4 linked regions of the Struthio camelus genome follow. The protein of the gene in region 1 binds, or shares a complex with, the protein of each later gene. Links are inferred from orthologs where the notes say so. Each region holds a gene or a part of one and is shown on either strand. Other genes may lie near its edges. The genes, in order: EIF3J, EIF3M, EIF3I and EIF3D.

Evidence for each region.
Region 2: EIF3J (region 1) and EIF3M share a complex: the UniProt entries of both Homo sapiens proteins name them as parts of the eukaryotic translation initiation factor 3 (eIF-3) complex. The link is inferred for Struthio camelus from reciprocal best matches to the Homo sapiens genes EIF3J and EIF3M.
Region 3: EIF3J (region 1) and EIF3I share a complex: the UniProt entries of both Homo sapiens proteins name them as parts of the eukaryotic translation initiation factor 3 (eIF-3) complex. The link is inferred for Struthio camelus from reciprocal best matches to the Homo sapiens genes EIF3J and EIF3I.
Region 4: EIF3J (region 1) and EIF3D share a complex: the UniProt entries of both Homo sapiens proteins name them as parts of the eukaryotic translation initiation factor 3 (eIF-3) complex. The link is inferred for Struthio camelus from reciprocal best matches to the Homo sapiens genes EIF3J and EIF3D.

What each region holds. Positions count from the first base shown.
Region 1 is NC_090953.1:1,192,663-1,200,493, reverse strand, and holds the start of EIF3J (eukaryotic translation initiation factor 3 subunit J), read right to left. Parts: upstream 3,022-7,831; 5' UTR 2,930-3,021; coding exon 2,905-2,929; intron 2,799-2,904; coding exon 2,698-2,798; intron 1-2,697. UniProt on the Homo sapiens protein: Component of the eukaryotic translation initiation factor 3 (eIF-3) complex, which is required for several steps in the initiation of protein synthesis.
Region 2 is NC_090946.1:27,112,784-27,119,973, forward strand, and holds the start of EIF3M (eukaryotic translation initiation factor 3 subunit M), read right to left. Parts: upstream 3,005-7,190; 5' UTR 2,892-3,004; coding exon 2,850-2,891; intron 1,256-2,849; coding exon 1,123-1,255; intron 202-1,122; coding exon 63-201; intron 1-62. UniProt on the Homo sapiens protein: Component of the eukaryotic translation initiation factor 3 (eIF-3) complex, which is required for several steps in the initiation of protein synthesis.
Region 3 is NC_090964.1:8,572,829-8,579,914, reverse strand, and holds the start of EIF3I (eukaryotic translation initiation factor 3 subunit I), read right to left. Parts: upstream 2,930-7,086; 5' UTR 2,912-2,929; coding exon 2,909-2,911; intron 2,720-2,908; coding exon 2,627-2,719; intron 2,455-2,626; coding exon 2,367-2,454; intron 1,946-2,366; coding exon 1,880-1,945; intron 1,516-1,879; coding exon 1,366-1,515; intron 1,268-1,365; coding exon 1,140-1,267; intron 853-1,139; coding exon 742-852; intron 248-741; coding exon 158-247; intron 1-157. Other genes in the region: TMEM234 (transmembrane protein 234), read left to right, coding at 4,137-4,439, 4,896-4,962, 5,205-5,297, 5,428-5,489; DCDC2B (doublecortin domain-containing protein 2B), read right to left, coding at 6,723-6,800. UniProt on the Homo sapiens protein: Component of the eukaryotic translation initiation factor 3 (eIF-3) complex, which is required for several steps in the initiation of protein synthesis.
Region 4 is NC_090942.1:59,344,223-59,351,283, reverse strand, and holds the start of EIF3D (eukaryotic translation initiation factor 3 subunit D), read right to left. Parts: upstream 3,019-7,061; 5' UTR 2,533-3,018; intron 2,138-2,532; 5' UTR 2,129-2,137; coding exon 2,006-2,128; intron 1,665-2,005; coding exon 1,619-1,664; intron 1,229-1,618; coding exon 1,092-1,228; intron 1,000-1,091; coding exon 914-999; intron 416-913; coding exon 343-415; intron 212-342; coding exon 96-211; intron 1-95. UniProt on the Homo sapiens protein: mRNA cap-binding component of the eukaryotic translation initiation factor 3 (eIF-3) complex, a complex required for several steps in the initiation of protein synthesis of a specialized repertoire of mRNAs.

The sequences.
Region 1 (7,831 bases):
CTAAGTAATTCAGAAGAGGTCGTCTTAATTCCAAAATACATCCACTAACACCACTTAAAACTTTGAAGCATTTCAAAGATACTAATTTATACATACTTAACTAAAATAAGGTTACTGAAAAACATCTTCCATTTCATGCAAATAAACCCTTGATGAAAGCAACTATTACAATTTCATATGCTCCACCACATGTACCTTTAAATGTACAAAGATGCGTGTTCCAGAAAAACAGAGAACATTACTTGAAGATTACAGGTTCTCCACTATTTAGATTCCCAGTCAATATTTCGCGTTCTCCTTCAAAGAGGAAGGACTGTACCATGTCAAAGGCTGTTGCCTATACGATAAGAAGCACGTTTCCTAGTTTTGGCTTTGTTAAGTATAGGATTGCCCAAGAGTAAATAGATGAAAATTCCTTGGCAGCAGGCCTGTCTTCTGGGAAACTTTTGTCACTTACGAAGATGCTAATTTTAATCTCATGAAAGGCAAAGTTTCCTAAACTTAAAACAGTTACTATCTTTATTAAAATACCTCCATAACAAACTATAGAATCTGAATATATTAAAAAAAAAGAAAAAAGAAAAAAAAATCTGAAGTGTGAAATACCAACTTGAAGGCAAACTACTGGCCAGAAAATACTTTGGGCTTGTATTTTAGACCACGTCATTTTTCTTATGCAGGTACTTTCCTGAGGCTGACAGTTACAAACAAGGTATCTACAATCTAAGCAATTATCTCACAGGCTCAGTTGCATGATCTTTAGCATCTATACAGTAAGTGCAACTCAAAGTAAAATAAAACAGCTTTATTTGCTCTAGGGGCCCTTGTCTCTAAATGCAGCTCCAGTACTAAAGCCTTAATCCCTTAATAGTAACTTTCTTACTGGTAGGAATGTTTTGGTAGGAAAACTTTGTTCCTTTATCAGAGTAGCCATACAAAGCTGGCGTCTTTAAAAGAATAACAGCTTATAGTCCAGTTCCATTAAGACATTATATTGTAGATGAAAAGTTTCTCACTTTCAAAGGAATCAGGAAAAGCAAACTTTGCTAAGTCAATTGGAATCAAAAAATAAATAAATACAGACACGTATGTATGTGTGTGTACACAGATATGTAAAAATAAGTATACATGTATAGTCACATTCTAACCACAAGCTTTACAAACTACCGTAGCCACTGTATACAGAGATACCTTTACTCATTTTGCCTGGTGTAATGTGACTGACACCTATAAATGTAATAACACCCCCACACCCTATAGTTAAGGTGAAAAATAGGCAGCCCATAACTTACAAAAATATTTGGGTTTTTTTTGTTGTTGTTGTTAAGACAAGATGAACTACTTTTTTCATACTGATTGAAAAAAAGAATACCCACCCTAAGCTCCAAGGACAACCGTGTTGGCGTTTTTCAGAGGTTCTGGTAACACAAGCAGCAGCCTAAATAACAAAACCAACAAGTCCTCGCCTAATAAGCAGCAATACTCTATTTCAGAAAGCCTCATACTTCTGACCATAATATAGTACTCATCACCTAGTGAGCTACAGGATTGTCTATTGCAGCACCTCAGCACCTTGATTTGAAACAGAGAAGTGTTTTTCAGTTTACCCATTTTGATTCCTAATAGTCAAACACATTCCTTTTATGTCCCCTGGCATCATTTTGCTTACAGTCTATACGAACGCTGAGCAAGTTAAGATTTCTGTGGCATCCACCACTCAGTCAATCTGGCTTGCTAAGGGACAGCTGGAGCTAAATAAAAGACAACAAGCTTTTAAAGAGGGTCTGCTTTCATAAATATTACAGATGAACATTCACACATTTTAATACAAACTCCATGCAGACATTACACTTTGAAACACAGTAAGAAGAGAGCCTTAAGTAAACAAAACATCTTTTAGTGATCTGGACACTACCAAACCTGAAAGAGCATAGTAGACTGCTTTATTTTCCAACTGTGGTGGGGCTTGGGGGGGGGGGGGGGGGTGGGAAGAAGTAGGAAGAGGAGTGAGAGCAGGAAGGGACAGGCTGCTGCAGCCCAGAAGTTTCTGGTCAATAGAAGTAGTACTAAGACAGCGCTGCTTCCATTAAATCCAACTTTTAACGCCTCACCTAGTCTATGCTACTCAAAACCAAGGATCTGAAAGAGCATTTGAGAAGGTCTACAGAAAGCAAGCAGAAACCAGCTGGCTGCAGAAAAGCACCAAGCTGCTGGCAAGCAGCTCAGAAGCAGCAGGTGGATTCCCTAGAAAACTGGAGAGTAAAAGTGTCTTTCTCTTTTGTCACCTGGAAGATCCAATATAAAGCAAGTGAACCTTAAGGAAAAATAACCAGTCTAAGCGAGGATTAAACAAGCACAAAGCAGAAACGCAGTCTTTTCCATGTGGCATCTCGACTCGTCATCTCCGCAGCAGGCGGCAGAGCCCGGGGCCTCAGAAACCCATTTCGTGGCTCTCACCCCCCAACCAACCCCCCCCCCGGCTCCTGAGGAAAACCCGCCTCAAGCCCCGGCAGCGCCGCAGGAGCCGCCGCCGCCCTCGTCCACCGGCCCGGCCCGGCCGGCAGCACGGGGCCCGCCACACGCGGCACCATATGGCAGCGGCGCGGCCGCGGCGGCCCCGGTCTCGGCCCCCGCCCGCCCCAGTGGGCCCAGCCCGGCCCCGGCGGGAACAGGCCCCGGCCCGGGCCCCGGCCGCACCTTCACGTCGTCCTCCTCATCCTCGCCGGCCCAGCGGTCCCCGGCCACCCCCGGCACCAGCCGCTTCGCCACCGGCTCCACCACCTCGAAGCTGTCCGCGTCTGTGGAGGAGAGGAGAGCGGGTGAGCGGCGGGGCAAGGCGGTAGCCAGGGCTCCCGCGGGGCGCCGGGCACGGCCGCCGCCACCACCACCACCACCACCACCTACCCCACGAATCCGTCTCCGCCGCCATCTTGCCCCGCGGAGCAGCGCCCACAGCGAAGCACGGTGAGTCAGCCGCGCCGAGAGCGGCCAGCGCCGCGCGCGGGGCACGCCGGGATGGCGGCGGACTGACAGGGCCCCGCCCCGCCGGCCAGCCCGCGCTCCCGCCTCCCCCACAAGCACCGCCCCCTAGGGGCGGGGCGGGGCGGGGCGGGGCGGGCTGAGGCGAGGCCGCCATGTCGGTGCCGGGCTGAGGCGGGGTGGGGCCGCCATGTCGGTGCCGGGCTGAGGGGGCCGAGGGGGTGCGGGGGCCGCCATGTCGGTGCCGGGCTGAGGGGGCCGAGGGGGTGCGGGGGCCGCCATGTCGGTGCCGGGCTGAGGGGGCCGCGGGGCCGCCATGTCGGTGCCGGGCTGAGGGGGCTGCGAGTGTTTTGTAGCGTTGTCATAAAACACCTGCAGAGCGAAAGGAGCCTGCCCCGTACGGTAGAGATTTGCCAGGAGCAGTGCGCGCCCTTAAACGCTGCCCTCAGGAAGAAGGGGTTTCCCGGTTGCTGTGTTTGAACACGTCCCCACTAGGAAAAGAAGGCTGGGATTGCTGTTCCAGGTGGGAGGCACAGAAAACGTTACTGTCAAACGTACTGCTGTCGTGGTGTATTGCCCTGTAGAGGACAGGGAATAAGCTGTTTAAGAACTTTCCTATGGATATAACCGGGCCCACTTTTGGTGCGTCCTACTCCTTTTAATACCCTGGTAAGGTTAAAATAGTACCGTTTTGTACCTACGGAACCCGTCCGTACGAGGATGATCCTGCGGAGAGCCTGGGACTCGGCGCAGGCCGCCCCGTGCCCGAAAACTATCTTTTTCCCTGGTAAAGATGAGGCTTGTGACTGAGCCTGAGATAATTCCTCACGCCCTCTGCAGATGGCAGAGCTAAAACATAAATATGCTAACGACATAAAAAATACAGCAGAAAACCGTAAGCTTCTAGGAACTAGCCTCATGCACGGTAAGCTTTGCCACCTGACGTTGCAGCGATTACCTCTCGTTTACTACAGCTTTGTAGTAAAAAATATCCTCCGATACTGTCGATAGGCCCCTTTATGAAGGGAAAAAAAATTATGTCCCAATCAGGCATATTTTTATTAGGTTTGTATGGATTGATTCTTAAAAATAAGAAAGAAACACTAGAAATAGAATATATAGGACTGGGCGGGGGGGGGGGAATGCTACAAAAAACCTAATTCAGTTTCAATTCAGTCAGCTTGTGCTGTTGTGGATTATATAGTTTATCTCATGCTCGCAAACTATAGTTCAATAATTTAATTTAAATAGCTGCAGATAATTAATACATTATTCGTAGGCTTTTGATAATAACATTTCCTTCAGCAATGGAATCTCTGTTTTCTGATAGGCTTTCTCAGTACAAAAATTTCCATGACTCAAACGTTATGCCCCTTATCAGACAATAAATGTATATAATGCTGTGATCCCAAGACTAAGAAGAGACCTTTACATGCTATATTTCAGGACACAGTTTTTTGGAGCATCATATATTGTCCGGTATTGACACACCAATACAGAGTATTCTGGTATCAGTACTAGGGAACTTTTTAAGGTTTCTCGGGAAGCAGTCCAACAGAAATTACATAACTTCCTGCACATCTTAGATATTTCTCTTTTAGGATGCCTTGCAATGATTATAAATGAAAGCTCCACTGGATCTGAACAAATATGGCTAATAACTGCATATCTGTTTCCTACCCTTAACGGAGCCAAGAACAGTTATTCACAGGATTTGAATGACTTTCTATTCTTCCTATTCCTAACTCATAAATACAGACAGAACAGGCAGAACAAAAACAACTTAAGTCACAGGCTCTAAGTAGGCAATCCTATTCAGAAATAATTAAGTTTTACTAATGAGAAATGCTCTAGATTCATCTAGCACGGCTTACGTCCACCTGAATACTACTCAGCCCTCAGCTATTTTCAGTTCAGGGAATGAGAGGGAGTTCTTTAAAACAGAATGGGAGAGAAGAAAAGAGAAAATACTTTCAAAAGTTGTTTCAGACTGGTGCCATAAACTATTTCCTAATCCCCTTAATAATAGTATAAATTTATAGTAAAGGTAGGTTATGATTTAGTCAGTTCCCAGCTTTCAGGTTCGTGATCAAACCACAAATAAACATGGGCGTAGGATTGCAGTAAAGCTGTAGAGATAGTCTAGCAACCAGATTATGCTTTCACAATTTATCTGCATAATTCCTTCTCTTTAAGGTGGGGTTTTTAGCTCAGTTCCCAGGGGGGATCGTGGCCTTGCAATCACTATAGTTGTCCTTTACTTAAAAACTTTGAACTCACCAGCTGGCTTTAACCAAATTGAGCAGAGGTCTAAAGGTCCCTTACAGGAATTCAGTGTCTACAAATATAAAATAGGTATCAGATGGAAGACAGACTCAGTGGAAGGAAGGGCTGTAGCCTGAGCTGTCAGTCAACCACAGGACACAAATCCACAGATATCCAAGCTGCCTTACTTCTGCTGTACAGGGGCCTTTAGTTCCGCTGCAGTTAGTCCAGTGAAGTCACGCTGCACACGCAGTTGTAGCCGTGATTTTCCCACACCAAATAGCAAATGAATTCTGCATTTTTTAATTTCTAGAGCCAGCTGTCATTGGAAAGTCATTCTCTTGCTATCCCACTGGCTGGAGGATTCATTTTAAACAGTAGATCCATAGAAGTGAAAACTCTCTCTGCGCTTCTTCCAGTCCCCCCTGGATGCCGCAAAAACTGCTACATCCCACAGATTCCAGGATAAGTATTTTAAGTGCTTGAACTTTCTAGAGAAGTGGGTTTACACCTTCACCTTGCTGCAGATTATAAAGGGACTGTTTGCCTCTTACGGTTTCAAGCTGTCACTCTTCTCCAACTTCTTCTCCAACTTCTTCCCCACTGCTACCAGGGAATATTTTATTTTGAAATGCTCTGAGGCCTGTGTTGTCCCTTTAGATTGTTCTGCACGCAAGACAGAGAGAGCGACTGTCACGGCTCCAGAGCTCTGATTTAGCCAGAGGTAAGCAGACGTCTGTTCAAGACCTGACGTTTGATGCTTCATGTTGTTTGGATGTTCCTGATGGAATAGGTTAGAAGTGGAGAACTGTTTTGTCTGAGGATTAAACATCAAACTCGCTGATATGCCTGGGAGCTACAACCAGATCCAGCCTAGCCTCTACCAGTTACACTGGTCTGTTTCCTTCTACCTTGTCAAATGCATAAATGTTGGAAACATTGATTAACTTCATCCAGTTTACTTCATCACCGCCTCCCAACTCTGTGATGTCATAGGGACATGAGAATCTGATCAGATTTCTCACGGGGAGTTTACTGAACCAATTCTGATGCTTCTTGGAGAAGAGTTTTTACAGCAACAACTTTCTGATGCTGAAGAAGAGGAGACATTGGTGACCCATTCAAAATCTAAGGAAATTAAAGCTCTAAATTTTCAAATTTAGAATGGTGACACTAGCCAACGTTACTATTGCATTGTTCTCTGGGAAACAGTCTGTGACTGTCGTCATGCTGCATATTTTCAGATAGTAGTAATGCGAAGCCACTGATAAAATTCCTGTGATGAGGGATCTTTACTAACTCACGGTCCCTCTTTTTCTCCATAGCTTCAAAGGGTCACCAGCAATTCAGGCATATATTTGGGTGTCTTTCCTTATCTCCAGCCCACTGGTTGATAAGAGGATATACATGGTGCACGCTTTTTAGTTGCTAATAAAGACCAACTTTTGGTTTCAGAATGAGCGTTCTAAAAGTAGATCCTGCTGCCATTATAGGCCATAGCATACATCTGAGCAACTCTTGGCACTAGCAGTGACATTGCTTCTGACATTGTTTTAACTTGATTTTATAATTGAGCTCCAGGCCAACCATTAATGTAAATCAGTACTTGTCTCTCTCAAGCTGCACGAACTCTTGCATTTTATGACATGCCATGCCAAGCACCTCCTTCATTATTTCCTGTGTGAGCTATACTCACAAACAGCGTACCCTTCTGCTAGGTACTTTTTTCAGTTAAGCCAAACCACCTGTTTCAGGGGGTGATCTGCTTTCTGTTTTAGTTTTCAGATGCCGAAGATCTGCAAGGAAACGCATCTTTTCTTCTCTGACCCTTTTTCTCGCAACTGACTTTAGAAGCGTATTTCCAAAAGTCAGCAGTTCCACTTCAAGATGCTAGAGCTCAAAGGCTGTTAGAAGATGTTCCAATCTCATATATGATGTCTGCATGTCCAAGTAATGATGGATCATACTGAACTGCCATACTACCATGTCCTCTATCATCAGGAAGGGGGTGTAAAATTCTTCCTCCTCTATCAGGAAGCAATTCCATACTGGGACTGACACATAGAAAACAGTACTCATCTCTCAGCAGTTCACCAATGCAGACCTTGAATTTATTATCAGATGAGCTGTGCAGGTTCTTGTCTCCAAATCCTGAGTGGGAGATCTGCATTGGTATCCTCAAAGTAGTCTGTGAACGGGAGCCACTCAAGTAGATTTGCGTTGTCCACATCAGGAATAAACGTCACTTCTTGTCTCAAATATTTTAGCGCCTGAGGTCTTTCTCTTAGGTTCATTGCGGTCGCATGGTCAGACCGTCGGGTGTGCGCCTCTCTTCCAGTCCCATTGCTTCCACAAATCTTGATTGAAATAAGACAAAAAAGCACCAAAATTATTCTGATTGTTTCAGCCTCGTCTAAGCAGTTTCCTGAAACCTCTACCATTGTTCCCAAACCTACTGATGCAAATGTCGTATCACTCGATTCAACCCAGCCTCAAAACGTTCCATCTCAAAAGTGTGCATGCTAGAGGATCTCTGTTCAAAGTACTCCTGCTCTTTTCCAGTAACGTAAGTCTTTATAAATAGCTC
Region 2 (7,190 bases), on another chromosome or scaffold:
TTTTATTTATGGCAAAAAGGAGAGTAAGACAAAGTACGCTGCGTGCAAGAGACAATACTTACAGCTGCAGTCTAAGAGATGGGCGCTCTCCTTCCCGAAATTTTACTAATTTCTCACACAGGCTTTCAATCAGTGCTTCTTGTTTGTCAGGCTCCAGGATAAGAAGCAAAGAAACTACACTGTTCATTACACTCTCAACATCTGCACAAAACAAAATATGCAGCTGTTTAAAATTGCAAGCAACAATCATCATCAGTAACTATTTAATACTAAAGAATCACTTCTGCTATGACTGCTTATTTTGTATTATCAAAACATATATTATACATATATTTATAATGACTGAGCATCACGCAACACAGCAATAAGGTTTTCTATTATTTTATGCTGATTTGCTTACAATAAGTAAAAGAAAAAAATTCATAAACGCTCATTCTTAGACAAACTCCGCATTCTTTCAAACAACGTATGTTATTCTTATGAGCTATTTGTTTTACATGTAAAAGTTTTAAATGGGTCTTTATACTGACACAGAACAGAGGAGGCAGAGAAAGATCAGTTAAGGCTACCACAGTATCATCAGCATCATTAAAATAGATTAATGTAGTTTCTAAGGACGTATGGTCCTAACTCCGAAAGGAGTTAGGACCACCAAAATTCTAACGTTTTCAAACAATATAATCAACTAATGTTTAGGTCCTAAAACGTCTCATTACAGAGGTCTACAGTTTTAATTTTTTATTGCTATCTATCTGATCTGCTGCACCACAGCCATTAATTGGTCATAAGTCTTATTTTATTATATATATATATATATATATTTTTTCCCAGAAAAGAAGCTTGTTTTATATACAACTTGCTATACCCTCATGGAGGGCACAGCCAGTTTTATTTCTGACTTCTTCAAAGGTCACTGGATGTCTGGAGAAAACAAGGGCAGAGTACAGGCATATTTTACATGGCACTACTGGAAATGCATTCTTCCAGTCTTAAAGAGACATGCCTTTTTAACGCACACAAGCCATGAAAAGTACCTCTAAATTCTGTGAACAGTTAGTTATCTGAAAGTATAGATGGGTGGTGATATGTTTAGCACAACTGACACAACTTAAAGGTGCAAACCTTTGTCATCCTCCTTCAGGCACACATCACAAGCTTCAATAATCTGTGCTAAGTCAACATGCAGTCCACCTTCAGAGTTCTCTTCAGAGATTTCAGCTCCTTTAGATTTCAGGTAAGCTCGAAGTTCTGCAGCCTTAAAAAAAAAAAAAAAAAGGCTAGTGAACAGCAAAGTCAAAGAAATTAATTTCTTATGGACTCCTTTCTGCGGTTATTCCTCTTTCCCCTGCTCTCCTCACCCACATTAGCTCCATTTCCCCCTACCACACTGTATCCTACAATGCTCCCTCTTCCCCATTTTAATACACCACCTAAATATCATCTAAGTCTAAGAGGCACCACGTGCTACAGTTAATTGGCCAGTGACTGAACAGATCACATAACTTGGGTTTTTTCACAGTGCATGCGTCACAACTGCTGGACAGAGAATTGCAGCTGTAACAAGTCTTTGTGACAAAGATGTTTCCTTCTTAAGGATTCTTATCTTCAAGACTTCTACTCTCTTTGACAACTTAAGCTGAAATAATAAAACCATGTAGTTGTGTATTCTACAGAAGAGACAAAGGCTATAACTACTTTAGAGAAGGCAGAACTTTCAGTCTTCACACAAGTTACGGTCAGTTTCCAATCTTATGACCTGCTTTATCTTGTTACGATTTAAACCAACAGTAAGAAGATATCTTTTCCACAGTGACAGATCTACACACTAACTTTACAATCCATGGTTTCAGAAGCAGAACCATAACTCTTCAGAGTCAATCTTATCAAGTTTGATTTACGTGATTTGTAAAGCCATACAACTTTTGGCATAAGAAATTCTGATCTAAATGCTACGGTGATACAAGAAAGATGTAATTTGCATCAAGTTCCATGTCAGACCAACACAGTACCATAAGACATAACTAAATGCTCTAGAATCCATCCCTATCCTGAAGATGTTTCAGACTAGCTACCTGAAGAGGATTTGCCAGACACCAGAGCAAGCAAGAACTGGACTGAAGACCAGTGTTTCTGACATGTGTTTCTGCTAGCTTTCACACTACATATGCAAAAGACATAAGGAACAAATACTAAAATTCAAAGACAACAAAGCAATAGCTCCAAGACAAAACTATTTCCCTGACTCTAATTTAAACATCAAGAAACCCAGAGAAACAAGAAACCTAACTAATACTCTAGCCGGTATCTGAACCGGCTTTCTTTTCCCAGAAAGGCCCTGTTGAGGAGGAACGAAGACAAAACATTAGCGAGGTACAGGCAATCTTCAATGACGAAACTGTGAACACGCGTTTGCTTTCACGTTCAGTTTCTTCAACCCGCACCCCCAGATCTCTAGCCCGTGCTGCCAGCGCTTTTGCAAAGAGCCGCGCGGGCTGCGGCGCGAGCACAACCGCCTTCGGCGAAGCCTCGCAGGCAGCGCTGCGCCGCCACCGAGGGCCGCAGGACCGGCCAGCGCACCCGGCCGCAGCCGCCCGCCGCCCACCGCCCGGGGCGCAGCCGCTGCCGCTTCCCCGTGCCGGACGGCGGGCGCCGGGGGCCGCCCCTCGCCCACCGCGCAGACCGGCAGCGGCCGTGGCCCCCGGCCGGGCCAAGGCCCCCGAGGGCGGGGCGGGCAAGAGCTCACCGTCCCGGCCAACGGGCGACACCCCCGGCCCGGCCCGGCCCGGCCCGGCGGTCTGCCACCGCGGGCCGCGCGCCCTCCTCCTCCCCGCCGCGCCCGGGCCGCCGACCTGATCCTCCTCCGTGATGTCGATAAAGGCCGGGACGCTCATGGCTCCGCAGGCTCCCGCGGCCGCCCTAGCACGCCGCCCGCACCGGAAAGGCCGGCCGGCTTCCGGTGCCGCTCTGACGTTCTTCCGCTTCCTGTCTGTGGGGCGGGGCGGGGCGGGGCGGGGCGGGGCGGGGCGGGGCGGGGCGGGGGGAGGAGCACACTGGCGCTCGCGCCCGCCCTCTCCCCTCCCCCCACCCCGCGCCGTTGGGCGGTGGCGGCAGCGACCGTTGGCGCTGAGGCGATGGCGGCGGCAGCAGGGAGCGTTGGCGCTGAGGCGATGGGCGAAGATGAGGGGCTGCTCTGTGTGCCCAGCCCCGAGCTGCGGCCGCCGCCCGGGACCCGGCGGAGGAGCTGACGGTCGAGTCGGTGCCCCTGGTCGGCGCTAGCCGCCTGAGGCGGGCGGGTGCCCTGCCTGCAGCCGCCTGGCCCCAAACCTGCGCCTGCCCCAGGTGTCGTCCGGCTGCCGGAGCGGCTCCCCCGGCCGGGGCAGGCTGCAGCGGGCCCCGTCCTGCCTGCCGGTGCGCCCCTAGGCGAGGCGGGCCGGGTAAAGGGCCCAAGTGCTGGCCGCGCTGCGGCAGATAAGAGTAGCTGGCCATCTTTAGTAAGGTATTCAGACATACATTTGTGCCTGTATGCAATAGGTGCCCAGAATGCCAAGATTAGTACGATGTGGAAAGAAAGAGAATTTTTTTTCTCTCTGAACCTAGATTCTTTACTACTTTTTCGTTAAACGTGTAAGTTCTTGCCTAGCCCTTTTCTTGCTGCAAGACTTTAAATAATGTTGGGAGTGAAATCTGGTAAGAGAAAGGACATGGGCTTCCTAATCAGATGCTTAGTTTGTTCTTAAAATCACCTTAGCTTATAGTCTGATTAAAAGTAAGAGATAACTTGCTGATACCAATATGTTGCATGTTTCTTCAGTTAAAGATTAATAAATTTCCCATTCAGCCACTCTTGTCAGAACAAGAGGGACATGGCTTGACTGTCCTGATATTTCAAAGGTTAAAACAAAGGGCAGAAAGAAAATAGAGGGAAAACGCCAGGGAAACTTTCATTTCCCTGTTGTTTATGATAAGCATTCACTGGATATAGACATTTAGAAAACACTTAGACACATTAATAGCTAATTGGGTTAAATGTCTGTAAAGACTTATTCAATAAGATCTGGAGGGTTTTGAAAGGTGGGTCTGTGGATGGCTTATTGTTGCTACATAATAGTACTGGCTAGAAAGTAATTAAAGAGCTTTTTATTACTCTAGAAATCATTGAGTAATTCAAGATAAATATTTCTCTGGAGAAATATAATCTAGCAACCAGTAATGGAATTCTGAAGTGCCAGGGAAAGGGAGCTGAGATGATTACTCTTTTAATGAGAATTTTGAGGTTGGTACTACAGCGCTATGTTTTGTATTGTTTACATTAGAATGTGTTAAACATCTTCCTGACAGTGTTTTGCAAAGTGTTGTCCCTGATATAAAATAACTAAATGAGATACAGTTTACAGGGACTGGAGATAGTGTTTTGTGCTTCAAGAGTTCAAATATATAATCTGCAGTATGAAAAAAGGTATACTGATTTATTCATCATACCATCGAGTGCCTTCCCAGTGTTACCACTGTTAAGCAAAAGGAGCTGTTGCTTTGCTGTCAGTGAACCACTCATCTAGCCCCCATTTTACAAAGGAAATTTTAGTAATAAATGTGGAAACACAAATAAAATGGGGCCTTAATATCACCATTTGATGTTCTCGGTGATTTGTATTTAGAAACTTTGGAGACTCTTTGAATATTAATGACACCTTTGCATTTTTAGAGAGATTTATAACTCTTGTGCTAATATGTTGTAACGTAATTAGGAAAAACTCTCAATTGATGATGAACTCTAGGGATGTATAGACTGAAGAATGCTACTCCAGAAAGCTGCTACGCTTTTAAAAGAGCAGGTGCTACTTTTGTCATCCTAGAAGTTCCCTATGAGAATTTTTCATTCCCTAGTAAAACGAATCTTGATGGATTCAAACGCCCTGGCTGGGAGGGCAGGTTCAACCCCTCCTGCAAAATGCTAGATGAACTTTATTGTGCCTTGGGATTACTTATTTGAAGGAGTCAAAGTCACGATCCGAAATCTGGAGGAATATTGTGAGCTTGCAGACCAGCATTTGCATCCGTTGGCAAAAAAAGCTGAGAGTTTTACACATTTGGATGATAACTAGCCCACATTATGTGATTCTGTCCATAACCTATTTTTGTTCCAGCCCACAAAATACGTTAGGAAATGCTTCTAATGCAGGTTTTACGTAAGATATGTAGAAGATAATGAAACCATTATAAGTTTCAACTTTTTATTAATAAAATAATCACCTTAGCGTTGTATTCACCATATATTTCAGAGATAAAAGTAGCTTTAAAAAAAGCTTTTTATTCCTTAAGTTACTAAGACTGCTGTCTACAGCCCACCCACTCCCCCTTTTTTTTTCCTTTTTTTCCCTACAAACCTTTACCTCACCAAATAATAACTTGACTTAAGCTTGTTAGAGCAGAGGTAGTGCCTACTTCTAAATTTCTACAACACAATGAACCTGGTAAAGGCCCAAACTGCCTTCATTAAACTTTATGACTCACATAACTTTTCATATACATGCTTGTATTATTTTTGAATAATGGTTCCACTCTTAATGTTTTTATCATCCAAATCCTGGTTAATTAATTTAGTCTAGTTTTGGTGTATTTTTGAAATAGTAACGCCATTGTAACTAATAAGGTACCTTTGCCAAAGTTGTTTTTCAAACAGTATATTTTAATATACAATTTTATATATATATACACACACTATATATACACACACACACTATATATAGTATGTGTGTGTATATGTGTAGATGTATATATACATATATATACACACACATATATAGTTTGATTATAATACCAAATACTTTAAAATGACTATCACTGATCAAAATTTTCAAATTTATAAATGCGTATCTCCTTTGTGTGCCTAATCTGAAATGGGTTCTGATTTTCAGAGGAGAGAGTGCTTAGCACTTCTGAAATGCACATGACTTTCACCTAATACTACTTAATGCAATCCTATGAGGATAAAAGACAACTTGGCATCCAGCACACTGGATAGCAGGAATAGAGATACATCATACATTTGATTTGCCATAGATCTTTAGAAGACAATTCAGGCACTATGTGTTTGCACCTCAAGTATGTGTTTAGTGTCAGTTTGTGTTCCAGGATATCGTGTCCGGTTATAAGCTGCCAATCTCACAGGCCTGGAGCTTTACCATGTATTATTCTAAATATATAAAAATAAAATAAGCATTGGTCACACAGGGTAGACAGGACATGACTTTAAAGAGCTCTGCTGAAATAGCCACATATGGTATGTTGCATGATACTTTATTTGTCCCAAAAGAGTTAAGATGATAGATGGTAGCTGGGATTTGAACTTGTACATCAGGAAGTCCATTCTGAATATAAAAGGGACAGTGAAACTACCATGTAAAGAGGATGTAGTGGAAGAATGTGTGTCAGTTTTATTGGAATGATGACATCCCTGTAGAAACAAGGCAATTGTTTATATCCTGTCTGCAATTAGTGAAGCCAGTTCAGAAACCTTGTGCAGATGGAGTACAAGCTCTGCCAAGAGAGCCAGAGATACCTACAGGAGCTGCCAGGCTTGCAGTGGAGCACAGGGCACCTGCCAGTGCGGCAGGGCCTAGGGCAAGCCAGGGCGCTGAAGTAGGCAGGTCTTCAGGGTGGGGTGGGAACAGCACCCCCGCCCTGCTCCACCTGCATGTCAGGGATGGGGCAGAGAGAGATCGCAAAGGAGGTCACTGATTTCCGAAACAGCTACTTTGTGTATGTATATGTGTATGGGCATATACACACGCACAGAGAGAAAGGTTCAGTGGCAAGCTAATTCTTGGCTGCTGAAGGGAAAAGAGGGATTGTGACTGACACCCACTGTAACCTTTTTTTTTGTTTTTTTGCAGCTTTTGAAAATGAAAGTTGTTGGGGTTGGACTTTAGAAGCTGATCCTCTTTCATTAAAAAAAGTGGACAAAAAGGATCTTCAATATAGAAGAGAAACACAGATTCTGTGACGGCATATTTTTCCTTCTACAGCTTTTTTTTTTTTTTTTTTGCAGTTCTGTATCTGTAGTGATGAGGAGAGGAAAGCTGAGTTGGCCTTCTGAAACACTGGGTAAGAATAAATGCTTTCTGTGGAAACTGGTCAATAACATAATTACAGACATACTCTTTCATCACTAATGCAGTATATTTTGGGCT
Region 3 (7,086 bases), on another chromosome or scaffold:
GGACGAGCATCATTTTCTATAATCCTCCTCACATCCCCACACCAGCAACCACAAGGCACTCTCCTACACACACATGCACATCCCTCCTACTCCCACTACCCAGGACAATGCAGGGATCACAGTAAGACCATTACCACATGAATAAGATCATTCTTACATGATCAAAAATAGGGGAGAGTGCTGCAGAGTTCACTGGTCGCTCTGTCCGGAATGTCTTCAGATGCTCGAGTGTTGTGCAATCAAATAGCTAGGAGGCAAAAGGGAGAGAAAGTTATTCTGCAAAAAGGGCTGGGAGAATCATCAACTGACAAGCAGACCCTGTGTTTTTTGCACAAGCAGCAACAATTGTACAGCAATTAACTCATACAAATCCCAGCCCCCGGCTGCCAGTCTTCACCTGAGCAGATGTTACCTCTCCTGTCTCTAATGCCATTCACGTGCACCTAAAATCCCCAAGATACTTCCACAGAATCCCAAAATACCAGCCTAGGGTAACTCCCACCTCTGTCACCTCCTGGAAGCAGCAAACTGCAATCTCAGTTTTTGCAACATTGTCTCCAACGTCTGTCTGCTAATCTAACACGGCAGGGTGTCCCCTTGCTCGCTGAACTTTCCCACTGAGCTTTGACTTTACGCTTACCCAAATTTCTAAGTGGTAAACCTCTGAGATAGCCATGTCTTTGAGCAGGGTCCTGAAAGGAAGCGTCAAGAGTGCACTGCGTTACCGATAGGAGGCCTCACCTTGGCTGTGTTGTCCTTGGAGGCAGTGATGAACATGGTCATGTCCCTGGAGGTCTGAATATCATTGATTTGCTTAGTGTGCTCCTTGATGTTTGAAAGCTGCTCCCCTGACTGAAGCGTAAACAAGGCAGTTTCAGTGTACTAGCAAGTGAAGCGAGCTGAGAAAGATCCCCTGTACATATGACTTCTCCATTAAAAACAATTGAGGAGCTCTCACTGTCAGCTGCAGGGCTGACATTGCTACGTTAGCCTTGCTCAGGGAAATCATATATTTTAACCACAAGTCTGCTAGTTTGAGCCAAGAGTCCATATTCTGCCCCGTGACCACAACAGGAACACTGCAGTATCCTCCCCCACGCACAGATGCCAAAGGAGACGCTGCTTCTTATCACACTGACCTTGGCACTGAACTGGTTCAGCTCTCCACTCTCGTGTCCTGCAATGATGAATTCCCCTAGAGGGCCCCACACAGCACTTGTGATTTTAGAGTCACTGCAGGGGATTTTCATGTAAGGTTCATTTTTCTCTGCAGGAAGGAAGGAAGGAGACAGACAGAATGGCACCAGCTCCAGCTATCAACACTTCCCCTCAGTACCTCATGCCGGCATTGCCCAGATTCCTCACCAATCTGGCTGGAGTCACGAAGGTCAAAGAAGCTCACAAAACACTGATATCCCATCTGCTTGTCTGTGGAAAACATGATGATGTTTCCGCCAAAGTCGAAGCCACATGTCCTCACAGCTGAGCTGGTCTTCACCAAAGCAAGCTGCTTTCCTAAACACAGGGCAGAAAGGGTCACCTCACCAGGTTCTCATGGCAAGATTAATGAAAATGCTCAGTTTAACTACAAGGTTAGAGCAACTGTGAGAGCATCCGACAGGCTGATGAGCAGGTTCGGTGACCTGCAAGCACTAAGCGTGCACTGACGACTTGGGCGGTGAGGTGAGTAATTTAACTAAATGTTCATTAGAGACCAGGACCATAAGCAAACCCTTTCCTCAAGCAGTCTTGAGCCAGAACTCAGACCTCTTTCAGAGGGTTAAACAGACACCTTACGCTGCCACCATGCACTCCAAGCAAACTTCACAGCAAGGCAGAACTGAGAATCAAAAACAACAGCGTGGGGAGAAGGTCTTACCTGTTTCACAGTCCCAGAGCCGACAGCTGTTGTCTGCAGAGCCAGTGAGCACATGCCGTGTGTCCCCTGCATCATCAGTTAGGGAATATCAACACGTTCCCAGCCCCCAAAAGCTACTGTCTATATACACAGCTAGCGGTTATTCACAAGATAAAAAAGCCTTACTACACAGAGAAATTGCAGACTGAGCAACTTCCATTCCAGGACTGGCAGTACTTCAGTACGGACAGACACCAAGTCCAAGTGCTCCTACTGCAAACCCCAAAACTTTTTACTTGAAGCATTAAAGAAAAAGGCTCCAGTTCCCAGAGTAACATAACCTTTGCACGCTGCTACCTCTGTTATCTGCTGCTGGCATTAGAGACAGAAGATCTTGTGCAACTCGGGCACCCTCTCAGAACTCCCAGGGCCTGGTCAGCAGAAGCAGCGAGCACAGCTGAGAGGAAATCACCGCCAGGACAAGCCGGTTCGAGCAACCAAAGGATACAGTCTGCGTCCACGCACCAGACAGCTCCCGTGTGGCCGTTGTACGTGCCAAGCCTCTCTCCGTTGACCGAATACCAGACGTTGACGATCTGGGAGAAGACGACAGTCAAGCCCTCCCCTCACACACTACCTTGAGGGACTAGCGAGGCCCGCGAAGAGCCGACCCCTTTTTGCTCAATTATCGCGACTTTTTGTCACCGCACACGCGGGCGGGGGAGGGAAGACAGTCCCCCCCGGGGGTGACGGGGAAGCCGCACTCACGGGGTCCTTGGCCACGGTGAAGAGCAGGTCTCCCTCGCGGTTGTACTTGATCTGCGTGATGGAGCGCTCGTGGCCCTGCAGCAGGATCGGCTTCTGCGGGGGAGGGAGAAGGGGGGGGTGGGGGGCGCCATTTAACGCCGCAGGAGAGGCGAGGCCTCGGCTCCGGTCGGGGCTCCTGGGCCGCCCCAGGGCCAGGCCGCCCCCCCCCCGCCCCCCGGGTCAGGAGCCCCAGCCGAGGCCCCGCATTCCCACTCCCACTCCCACTCGCGGCCCCCCGCTCACCATGGCGGCGGCCCTGACAGGATGGCGAGGAGGCGACGCGCCGACCGCTTCCGGGTCACGGAGAGCGCCCCGCCCGCCGCCGGGCGGAAGTGCCTCGCCGGGGCGATGGCGGCGCCGGGTGAGCTTCCGGGGCAGCCGGTTGCTAGGGAGCCGATATGGGGTTGGGAGAGACGGGGACCCGGGCCCGGTGTGGGGCCTTCGGGGCGGGGGGCGGGACAGGGAGACAGGGCGGGGGGCCGGGCTCAATGCGGGGCCTCCCCTGGGGGGGACGTGGCGGGAGGCCGGGCTCAATGCGGGGCCTTCTCTGGGGGGGACGTGGCGGGAGGCCGGGCTCAATGCGGGGCGTTCTCTGGGGGGGGGACATGGCGGGAGGCCGGGCTCAATGCGGGGCCTTCTCCTGGGGGGGACGTGGCGGGAGGCCGGGCTCAATGCGGGGCCTTCTCCTGGGGGGGACGTGGCGGGGGGCCGGGCTCAATGCGGGGCCTTCTCTGGGGGGGGACGTGGCGGGGGGCCGGGCTCAATGCGGGGTCTTCTCCTGGGGGGGACGTGGCGGGAGGCCGGGCTCAATGCGGGGCCTTCTCCTGGGGGGGACGTGGCGGGAGGCCGGGCTCAATGCGGGGCCTTCTCTGGGGGGGACGTGGTGGGGGGCCGGGCTCAATGCGGGGTCTTCTCCTGGGGGGGACGTGGCGGGAGGCCGGGCTCAATGCGGGGCCTTCTCCTGGGGGGGACGTGGCGGGAGGCCGGGCTCAATGCGGGGCCTTCTCCTGGGGGGGACGTGGCGGGGGGCCGGGCTCAATGCGGGGCCTCCCCTGGGGGGGACGTGGCGGGAGGCCGGGCTCAATGCGGGGTCTTCTCCTGGGGGGGACGTGGCGGGAGGCCGGGCTCAATGCGGGGCCTTCTCTGGGGGGGACGTGGCGGGAGGCCGGGCTCAATGCGGGGCCTTCTCTGGGGGGGGACATGGCGGGAGGCTGGGCTCAATGCAGGGCCTTCTCTGGGGGGGGACGTGGCGGGGGGCCGGGCTCAATGCGGGGCCTTCTCCTGGGGGGGACGTGGCGGGGGGCCGGGCTCAATGCGGGGCCTTCTCCTGGGGGCGGACATGGCGGGAGGCTGGGCTCAATGCGGGGCCTTCTCTGGGGGGACGTGGTGGCAGTTTGGGCCCGATGGGAGGCCTTTTCTGAAGGGGACTTGCCAGTGGGCCGGGCCCAGCTGAGCCTCCCCTGAGGGGGGAATGCAGTTGCAGGCCAGACCTGATGTGGGGCTTCCCGGAGCGGGTCGTGGCCCCCGCACGTTCCCAGTGCAGGCCGCCTTGGGGGACGACCGCAAGCCGGGCCTGGTGCTCCCTGGGATCAGCAGGCTGCTAAGGCACGGCTGTGCTGCAGGAGAGGCAGCGGCGCTGGTGCTGGTGGCTGTGCTGTGGGGCAGCACCGGGCCGTTCCTGCGGACGGGTGCTGCAGGGCTGGAGCAGGTCTGGGGCCAGGGCCGCCTGCGGCAGCTCCTCGCCGAAATCCGCTTCCTGGGCCTCAACTACAAGGTGTGAACCCGCTCTGGCTCCTGGGCCAGGGAGGTATCTGGTGTTAAACTGCCTTTTGGGTCATTTCTGTCCACTCACTTCTAGACTTGCTATTTTTATTTGAGCTGTTAAATAGTCCAGCTCTCATCAGAATTATTTATCCTCCATAATATTTCATTTACTTGCCTAGAGCGTTGCTCTCCCCTTGCAAAATTTAGACCACTTTGTAGACAGCAAGTCATTAAGGTTCTTATTTTGCATAAAGTAATCACTGTCTGCCTTTTGCAGGTAGGGAAACCAAGACATTAAACAGCTTGTTGCTGGCAGCGGAATCACTAGTATGCTGGGTTTCCGCTGCTAAAAAAAGTCTCAGAGCAAGGGGGTCTGGGTTCCTTCACTGCCCGCTCCTGGGCTGCTTCCACAGGGTGCACAGTGGTTGTGTGTGCAGCGACTGACAAGCTCATGTTCTCCCTGCAGTACATGGTGCCATTTCTGCTCAATCAGTGTGGATCACTCCTTTTCTATCTCACCTTGGCATCCACAGGTTAGTTCTCATTGCTTTTGTGGAGTGGGTGGATTGGGATTTTGGGAGGAACTTCCCTATTCCTAGGGAATAGGAATGTCCTATTCCCTAATGAATAGGAAAGTCCTATTCATTAGTCTGGTGGCCCAGCTAAACATCAAGCAGCTGCCTTGTAATAGCAGCAAAGTCATTTACATTCTTAGTGTCTGTGATTTGTACAAGACCACTCATTCTTAAACTGTGTTGAAACTGTTGGATTTCAGATCTGTCCCTGGCAGTACCACTCTGTAACTCTCTGGCTTTGATAGCCACACTGGTGACTGGGAAGATTCTGGGAGAGGATATTGGTGGTAAAAGTAAGTTAGACTTGAAATACGTTTTGTCACATTGCTTCCTGCATGTATTTGCTAACTTGATAGTGTAGGCTACTGTGTTTTAGCATGGTCTCTGTGGTGGTTTTGGTGTGGTTACTGTTTATTTCTGTAGGAGCTGTGGCAGGAATGCTGATCACTGTCCTAGGAGTCACTCTCTGCGTAGCTGGTTCATAAACAAGACGCCGTGAGATACATCAGGAAGAAAACCTATTCCAAGGTAATCTCCATGTGTGAAGAGGGGAGCTTCCAGCTCAGCAGCAGACCATTAGGCTCAGTTGCATCTAGGAAGCTGCATTTTTGACACACACATCTAAAAACATGGATTGTATTCCCTTAGCGCCATGGCGGAACAAGGCATTTTTCAAGGACATCCTATGTGATGTCCTGGGTTAAGGAATGTTTTCTGTGAGCATTTCAAGGCAGGGATGACTGAATTGTCTTGTTTAGCACTGGAAGCATAATAAATTGTTTAAAAGTCCTTCAGAGACTCTCCTTTGACAATGACTTTGCCTTAATTATGACCTAGCTGATTTTTTGTAGAAGGAGTCAGTTAGAAAGTCTCCTCTTTCATGCCTATGAAAGTGGCTTCCTTCATTGTATCCAGGTCATGCTGCACAGCCCAGAGGTGTACCATATGGCTCTTCTCCACTGGACTTTGATCCGTAAAATAATAATAGTGCGGTTTGCTGCTACAAGAGGAAGCGTCTTTCTTTTCAGTGAAAAAATCAGTCCAAAATACTAAACAGATCCCTGAAGGAACATCTTCATTACCCTTGTAATTAATCATGAACTCTAGGGAAGGATACAGAAAGTCTTGCACAAAGAGTGTTGAGACAATAGCCATTTATTACTATGACTTTTAAGAACATCTGCCTAATTCAGGAAAACAAATCTACCAAATCTGGGAGCAGATTTGATTGCTGCAAACATTATCCAAGCACTCCAAATTAGAGGGACAATGATGCTATGAAATATTTTTAAAAGAAGTTCCTGACACAACAAATTTTCTGGCAGATATTTTATTATAAAGGAGTAAATGCTATTTGGTAATTCTTCCTCCCCACATTCAGATACAAACCAGTTTCTTAATTGGAGTTCAGAAAACCGGCCGTCTCCTCTGCCAAATCGTCATACTGTAGAGATGAGGAAAGGAGGAGTACTACATTATTTAACAAAATTGTGCATCAGATTCCAGTTCACTGGTAGTTTCCCTCTCAAGCACAGACAATTATGGTGTTCGATCTTAGAAGATAATACATCAGAAACTGTGGCCAGTCTTTGCTGTTACATGTATCTGAGAATCACGTGCTTTTGTTATCTAGATAGCAAGCTACCTAGCTGTCTTTCTCCCATCACAGTCCCTTTGTGAAGTCTTCAGAGTTCCTTGCTGCTAAGGAAAGACATCCTTCAGTGCTTTTCATCCTCAGAGTCGCTGGCATACCTTTGCATTGCCACGGTCTTCTGCAATTTGTCTGTACTCCACACCTTTTTGTGTTAAGAAAGAAATACGGTTATTAGTGTAGCACTTTCTGCTCTTACAGACAGCTGCTGGGACTAAATTTCTGGATTCCATTTCCAGTCTTGCCGTGGCTTTGGCATGCAAACGTAGGTCTTTAGGCATTAAGTAAGCCACCTTTGAATTTAATCTAATGATTCTCTCCCACTGCAGGAGAGAGCTGTGAAACTCAGATAACAACACCTGTACAGCACTGTGATCTCATGGGGGAGGAAAGGCCAAGTTAAGGCAATGGCATTGGAGTGCCGCCCCATG
Region 4 (7,061 bases), on another chromosome or scaffold:
GGAACACTGGGCATGGGCCACGAGGCCCTTGCCCTGCTACTTTCCAAAACCCAGTCAGTTCAGGAAGCGAGCACTCAGCTGTTTTAGAAACTCACATGTCCTGCGGCTCTGACACCTCCAGATAGCGCATCTTCATCAGTCGAGGGAAGTCCATCTCTTCTTTCACCTCCCAGTCACTGCGAACTTCAACAGAGGAGTCACGAGGCTTCTGCTGTGCGGCCAGACAGTAGACAGATAAAGAGAGAGAGAGAGACACAACACATCAGGATTTGTGAGAGAGAAATTGCCTCATGAGAGCAGAGAAAGAACTAGACAATCACAGGGGTCAGAAAGCTAGTTTACCTGTGATTTTTGGTCCCATTTCTGCCTCACTCCAAACTGTTTCTGAAACTTCTTCTGTAGACGCAAACGATCTCTACAACGGCAAACATGTGAAAAGCCATCACGACAAGTTCTTGATTCCTAGATGCCACAACCACTCCTACACTTCCAATTTAGCACCAAAGGAACAATACCTTTCGGCACCAAGCCACTGAAACATTCACTGAGCTGTCTGTTGATCAAGATGTGTGAAGCGTTACAAGCTCTGCTCTTTATTCCGAGCTGCTGTTTAAATATTTTCACCTTTGAAGACTACAACGCAGCTTCCAAAAGGAGTATACTTCATTTTAAATTACCACGGTTATTTTCTGAACTGGATTTAGAAATTCTCCTAAATTCTTAAGTAGCTGTTTGAAACCCATGCTTATAACTACAAGTGACTTGGGCAAAACAATGGACTTGAAAAAAATCCTCAAGTTGTTCTTTGGTGACTGTTAGCTCTGGTGGTTTCTGCTACAGTATCTTACCCAATTTATCAATACTTTGTTGACACAATTCATACAAATACAGTATACCCGTATGAGGGTCTCACCTCTCCTTCTGCTTGGCACTCTTTGGCAGTGTCTGCATACTGAACTGCAGCATGTTCCGACGGTCCTTGTCTCTCCGAAGGTTCCTCTGTGAAAAGGGGCGGGGGGGAGAAAGACATTTTAGTTATAAAATAATTTGCTACCACTCAAGCTCTCAGAGTTTTGGAAAACAGGTGTTACCTGTGCAAATCGCATACGATTCCTTTGGTACGCGGTTTTCTGCGTCCGTGCTGTATCCACCAACTGGAAGCTAGTCTCATCCTCCTCATGAAAATATGCATATTGACTTCCTCCGCCAAACTGTGAAGAGTACTTGTCTGAAAATAAAACAAAGCATCTTGCTATCAAGCTTCTAGGAAAAGAAGACTGGCGAAGTAGGAGGGGGGAACAATCCCCTCCAAACGCCTTCCCTCAAGCCTGATGCATTAGCTGGGACTGTCTACCTTATACCACTGCAGTTTGCTCTGCCTCTAAACCTCCAAGAAAAGCACCAGTCACGAGGTAGAACAAAACCACAAGCAAACCGTAAGGACGGGGAGAGCCCCATGGAGCTCTCCCAAGGGTGAGGCACACTTCTGAATATAAGCAGCTCTTGCTGAGGAACGTAGGCAACCACTAGAGCCGGTATGAAACATGAAAGCAGGAATGACATTTGAAGTAAGCTTGTATGAAACAAATGACAGGAGCAGTCACCAAACAGCACGTACTCGTATATCTCTTATCCTGATAAGTGGCTCCTGTCCAGTCTGCAACCTAAGGACAAACAAACAGTCAAAATAAGCAAGTAGCAACTCTGACTTTACATATGCAGGACTTCAAGCAGCAAAAGCAAATATGGCTCTATGCTCCAGAATCACTCCTTTCAGTTCCCACCTCTGCTTGCCAATCTTGCTAATAGTTCACAACTATGCTAATTAGGATGGACTACAAAGGATGTTTCAAAAACAGTCATAGTAATTAGTAAAGAAGCTCTGAAAATAAAGCACCACTACTATGCACAGGTGATATGTAAGAAGGAACATAGGGCTCATTCAGCAGGTTAACACAAAGGCTGCCACCTTCCCTAGCTCCACATTAGGACATGATTTTAATACCTTTCCCAAGCGGTCTCCTTTACTGAAGGGCTGATATGGCATATCCCTGAACTGCTCAGGCACAGCACAAGGGCCCCAGCCCGAGGGGTTGTCCTGGATCACTGGTGTCACAAACTTGGCCATTTTTTAAACCTTTAGGAGAGGAAAAAAAAGTAAAAATAAAAAAAGGGGGGGGGGGGGAAAGCAACCAGAAAAGCTCAGTTGCCAAGTGGCAAACCCTGCCAAAGCACCGCGACACCCGCTGCTGCGGGACAGGGCGGCCAGGGCTGCGCTACGGACACGGCGGACACCGCGGCCCAGGCCTCGGTGCCTCAAGAGAAGGACGGGCCTATTTGACCTCCCGGCCCCGCGCGGGGCCGCAAGCGAGGCGACGCTCCTGGGGGCAGGGCGGGGGATGGGGAAACTCGGCCCCACCGGAACCGGGGGCAGAGGCGGGGCCGCGGGTGGAGGGGGAGCCCCGATACCCGCGGGCCCAGCCCCAGTGCGGCAGCGGGCGGGCCCCGGCCGCGCCACCGGCGGCTCCTCACCTGCGCGGCCCCGATGGCGGCGGATACGACGACAGCGGCGGCGGCGGCGAGGAAAGGGCCCCGCACGGCTCCGGCCCGGCCTTAGCGCGTCATCGCCGCGCGCCGCCGTCGTAAAATAAATAAATAAATAAAGCCGCCAAGGAGCTCCGCTCTTCCCGCCCCGGGGCTGCCGTAAAGCACGGGCACCTCTGCCCCACCTCCCGCTCAGATGTCGTCTGGATGACGCCGAAACCATAGAGCTGCCGGACGGCCTGGCTAGAAAAGCTGCAGCGCGCCCGCGGGCGCCTCCATGACGTTCCGCGCTCCCTCCAATATCCCAGTGTGCCTTGAGGCCGCGGCGGTGCCGGTTGCCGCGGCAGCGGCGGTTGCGGTGGCTGCCGGAGTTTTCTTCCTCTTCTTGCTGCCTATGACGCAGGATTTAGTTGGCGGAGTGCCTCAGAGCCCTCTGTCAGCAGCCCCGCGAGCTGCCCTGGGGGTGCCGGCTCTGCTGGGATGAATGGGGGGGCGCGGAGGGGAGGGGGGGGTCCCAGATAACGTCAAACCGCGTCACCCGTGGCTTGCGTGGGGGCTGAGTTAGCCTGTTCCCTGTTCTGATGGTGCCTCTTGTCACAACGGTAGCGATTACTGAAGTCCCGCACCCTCCTAATTACCTGCCCAACAGTACGTGGGGTTAACGGGGAAAAAAAATGGTATTCGCGATAATAAACTTGCCTTATCCGCAGAAGAGCTTGTGTTCAGCTTTAAGTGGAAAAGGCCGAGATGAGGCAAGACAAAGCCTTTCGGGTTGTACTTGGCTGTCACAAAGAGGAAGAAAACAGATTGTTTTCCCTGCCTCCTGAAAGCAGAGGAGAAACATGAGTTCAAACTGAAACAATGGAGATCTGAGTGAGATGTTAGAAAAATCTTTTCTCGCTGTAAAGTTGATTAAACTTCTAGAAACGTTGTTGAACGTGAATAGGGGTATTTAAGCCTTTGTTAAGCCAACATCTGTTGGGAATGATTTTGATATAACGGCTCTGCCTGGCCGCAGTGGGATGGCCCAGGTTGTTTCACAGAGTTCCTTGGTTTTTTTATCTGTTGCTCTCATAGGGATACTTGGACTTCATGATCAGAGGTGACTGTTGCATATCAAGAAGACTTCTTTTCTTTGACGGAGGTTGAGCACAAATTACTCTGCCTAAAATTATGTACAGGAAAGGATACTGATCCTCAACTTAGTAACTGACAAACATTTCTACTGCTATGCTTCAGTGCCCTCCTGTCCAGTTGTGCCAGGTTGTTCTGCAGACATGAAAAAGACTTACTGTAAAGTCTGACAGGTAAATTCCTATTTTCACAGATAGATTTGTGTCTGTGATAAAGAACAGACTTACAGGGCTCCTGACAAGAAGTATATCAATAAGGCAGTGTATCAGGATAGGAAGCACGATCTAATTCTGTGCCTCTTAATTTTGTCAGACAAAGCATTTTTTGTTAGCCTCTTGAAATAAAAATGTATTGCAAACTTTGCAATGTTTTTGTAGAGAAGTAGGTAGTATTGACTGCAGTTGTATGGTCATACAACTGACTTTGGGTTTTAGAGTATTTTTACGAAATACTTTACTTTGAGGGGTAAGGATGTGTGAAAAGTGCTAATTGCAGTTGTCCCTGTTGCCTTCACAATATGATATTAGATGTTTTGCATTGCCTCTGATGGCTTTCCTTGACCTGCTAGAGAGGAAATGTAGGGCTACAACTTCGCATTCAACTCCATAGCCTCTTCAGGAGACCCTGAATAAGTCGTTTAATATAACACATGCCTCAGATCCCTGTCTATAACTGGGATCTATTTCCCCTCTCAGATGGTGAGAGCAAAAACTCATTGGTAAATCTTGGATACTCAAATCACTGAAATTTTCTCTACCACTAAAAGACCAGGATCCAGCTTACAGGTATCTTCAGCTCATAGGCTGGAGAATTTTCCTGGGTATCCTTAACCCAAGAAAAGTCTAGATCAATACTCTTCAGAAGGGTGTGCATTTTCTCCATTATTTACAAATTCACCACCTTTAGTTACTTCCTGAGAAAGCACAGAAGCTGCAGCAGTCTCTACTTTGCCAGGATACCTCCCCATTAATCAGGAGTAGGATTATTAGAGCAATTTTCCTAGCTAGTGAAAAATCCGCTTATAGAAATATAGTTTATAAAATACAATTTGTAACTGTCCCACCTAAATGGCCCTCCTGGGCACAAATGTAATGAGTGTTGGAATTGCCTCACTGCTCTCCAGTGGTGGCGCAGTGGATTCTAGCTCCAGAATGTGACTCCTGCAGTGCCCCACCAACTCCCATTCCCTTCCCTCCCCAACTCGGGTGGCGGGCTGAGTAGGCTCAGAGGGCTCTGGCTGTGGGAGGTGGCCTTACGCACCTTTGGGACTGCTCTGGCTATATTCCAGTCTATAACTAACTTCCTCATTATCTATCTATGTGGAACAGATAAATACACTTTATCCAGCTTGATACATTAGATTCAATCTGAACATTGTTGTGTTCATGTCCTGCTTGGGAGACAGCGATAAAAGGAACAGGAAATCCCAAAGAGAAAGCTGGATTAGGGAATGAATAAAGAGAAGCAATGTCAAATGGACTGATAATTTAAATCCCTTCCTCTTCCTTTCCTCAGCTTCCCTTTCGCTCCCAACTCGGTGTGAGGTTCTTAAAAGAGACTGTAATGCTGCTTTCGTCTTCCAAGCTGACAGGTTATTTGCAGTTTGGGCCTAGCCCAGCAAAATACCTTCTCTGGGGACAGAGTTGGGTACGAGGCATGGTTCAGAGGACAGAGCATGCGTAGGGAGTGTCCTGTCCAGAATAAATACTCCTTTATGTTCCAGTGTAAAGTACCAGTTTCTTATCCAGGGGAAAATATTTCAGTTCTAAGAACTTATTGCAGACTTGAAGAGGGTGATGTTCTCTGCCAGATTTAGGTCAGATTTACGAGGGGGGAGTGAGTAAGTTTTACCTCACTTTTTATTTAGCACCATACACTGCCGCCTCTGATCTCCTGTCCAATGCTGTGGTCGAGGCTCCAGTGTTGCATGTACCCCTCTGTTCCTGTCTTGCCAACCCCAAGCACCATTTCTGCCAATAATTTGCTATCTAGCTGAGGGCTTTTATGACAGGCACATGAGTTTTCCAGTGAAGCCCTGAGTTGCTCAGAATACGCTTTCTTGCAATCATTTGATCATTAATCTACAATTCTAGTTAATCAATTAATTACAGTTAATCAGGCTAATCAGTTTTCCCTGGAAGATGCTCATGAGAACAGCCAGGATAAATTGCTCCCATCTGGTTTTGCAGCCTTGTCTCCTATTTCTCTATTTTGGGGATCTGCAACTGGTGTTAGCAAATCCATAAAAGCGGGCTTTGTCCTAGCATCATGGCTGTTCCAGTCCAAAGGCTTCACAGCCATAATCTAGTGCTTTCCCTCCATCTCCTGCAGCAATTCAGGGCTCGTTCAAAAGCTGTTGTTCTGTGAGCTGGCTGTGTGCTGAACAGCAGACTCATCCTGCTGAGCAAGAAGAACGTGCAGCTCAGGCAGTATCATAAGAAATTTGCCAGGTTTAAATGAAGGAAAGCAACTCAAAGCTCCCAACCTATTAGGGTTCTTTTCTAGAAAAAAAGCTACCCTCTTCCCTACCTGGAGACACCTTGGAAAGCCTTAGGATAGGGGTTACTTTCCAACTTGTGTGACTGTGATTCCCATTTGCTGCGCAGGACTTCTGCTCAAAGAGGGGACTTGAAGACTAAGGTTCATATTGAAACACTAATTTCCAGTAGTTCCTTTTGTAATTCTTACAACAAATGCATCAAAGATAGCCAATTGTTTCTTTTTTTAAACTAGACAACAAGCACACTGTATGCCTGTACCATATGTTTAGTTCCCAGTGCCCTGTACTTCTTGACAAACCCAGAAACCAGAGAAAATAATCTTCAGCCTTAGCACCTTCCCCGAGATGAGAAGACTAATGTTTACAAACCTCTTCAGACTGTTCTTCCAAAGTCATCTTGTTTAAAGTGGCAAGACTTAATGCTGGCTCCTGCGTTCTCATTGCAAACAACCTTCACTGCATCTAAAGTGGCTCCTGTCACAGGCCAGCAACTATCTGGCTGCTCAGCTGCCCAGAAGGATCACTGTCCTCCAGAAAAAGCTGTGTTTCAATTGCTCTCTCCCTCTGTTCACAGGCTGAGAAGCCCTCCTACCTCCCTGGTGTGCATTCCTCTGTGCAACTCATCTTTCCAGTTGCGCTTTTAACTGCCTTCTCAATCTGCTGTTCTCTCAGGCCAAATGCCTTCACTGCTGAGTGTGGCCTCCTTTTGCTCCTTCTTCACCCCTCTCCTAAGCTGCCTGGATGCTGAACTCTAAGCCTGCCTTCCTTGAGTGACAGTTGCTCGCCAGCTTTTTCAGAGTTGTGGTTGATAGAATTTTTAGAAATCCTGGAAGAACAGCCCGTAGAACAACTTTCCTGTGTGTGTGCTGTGAATCTGACTTTG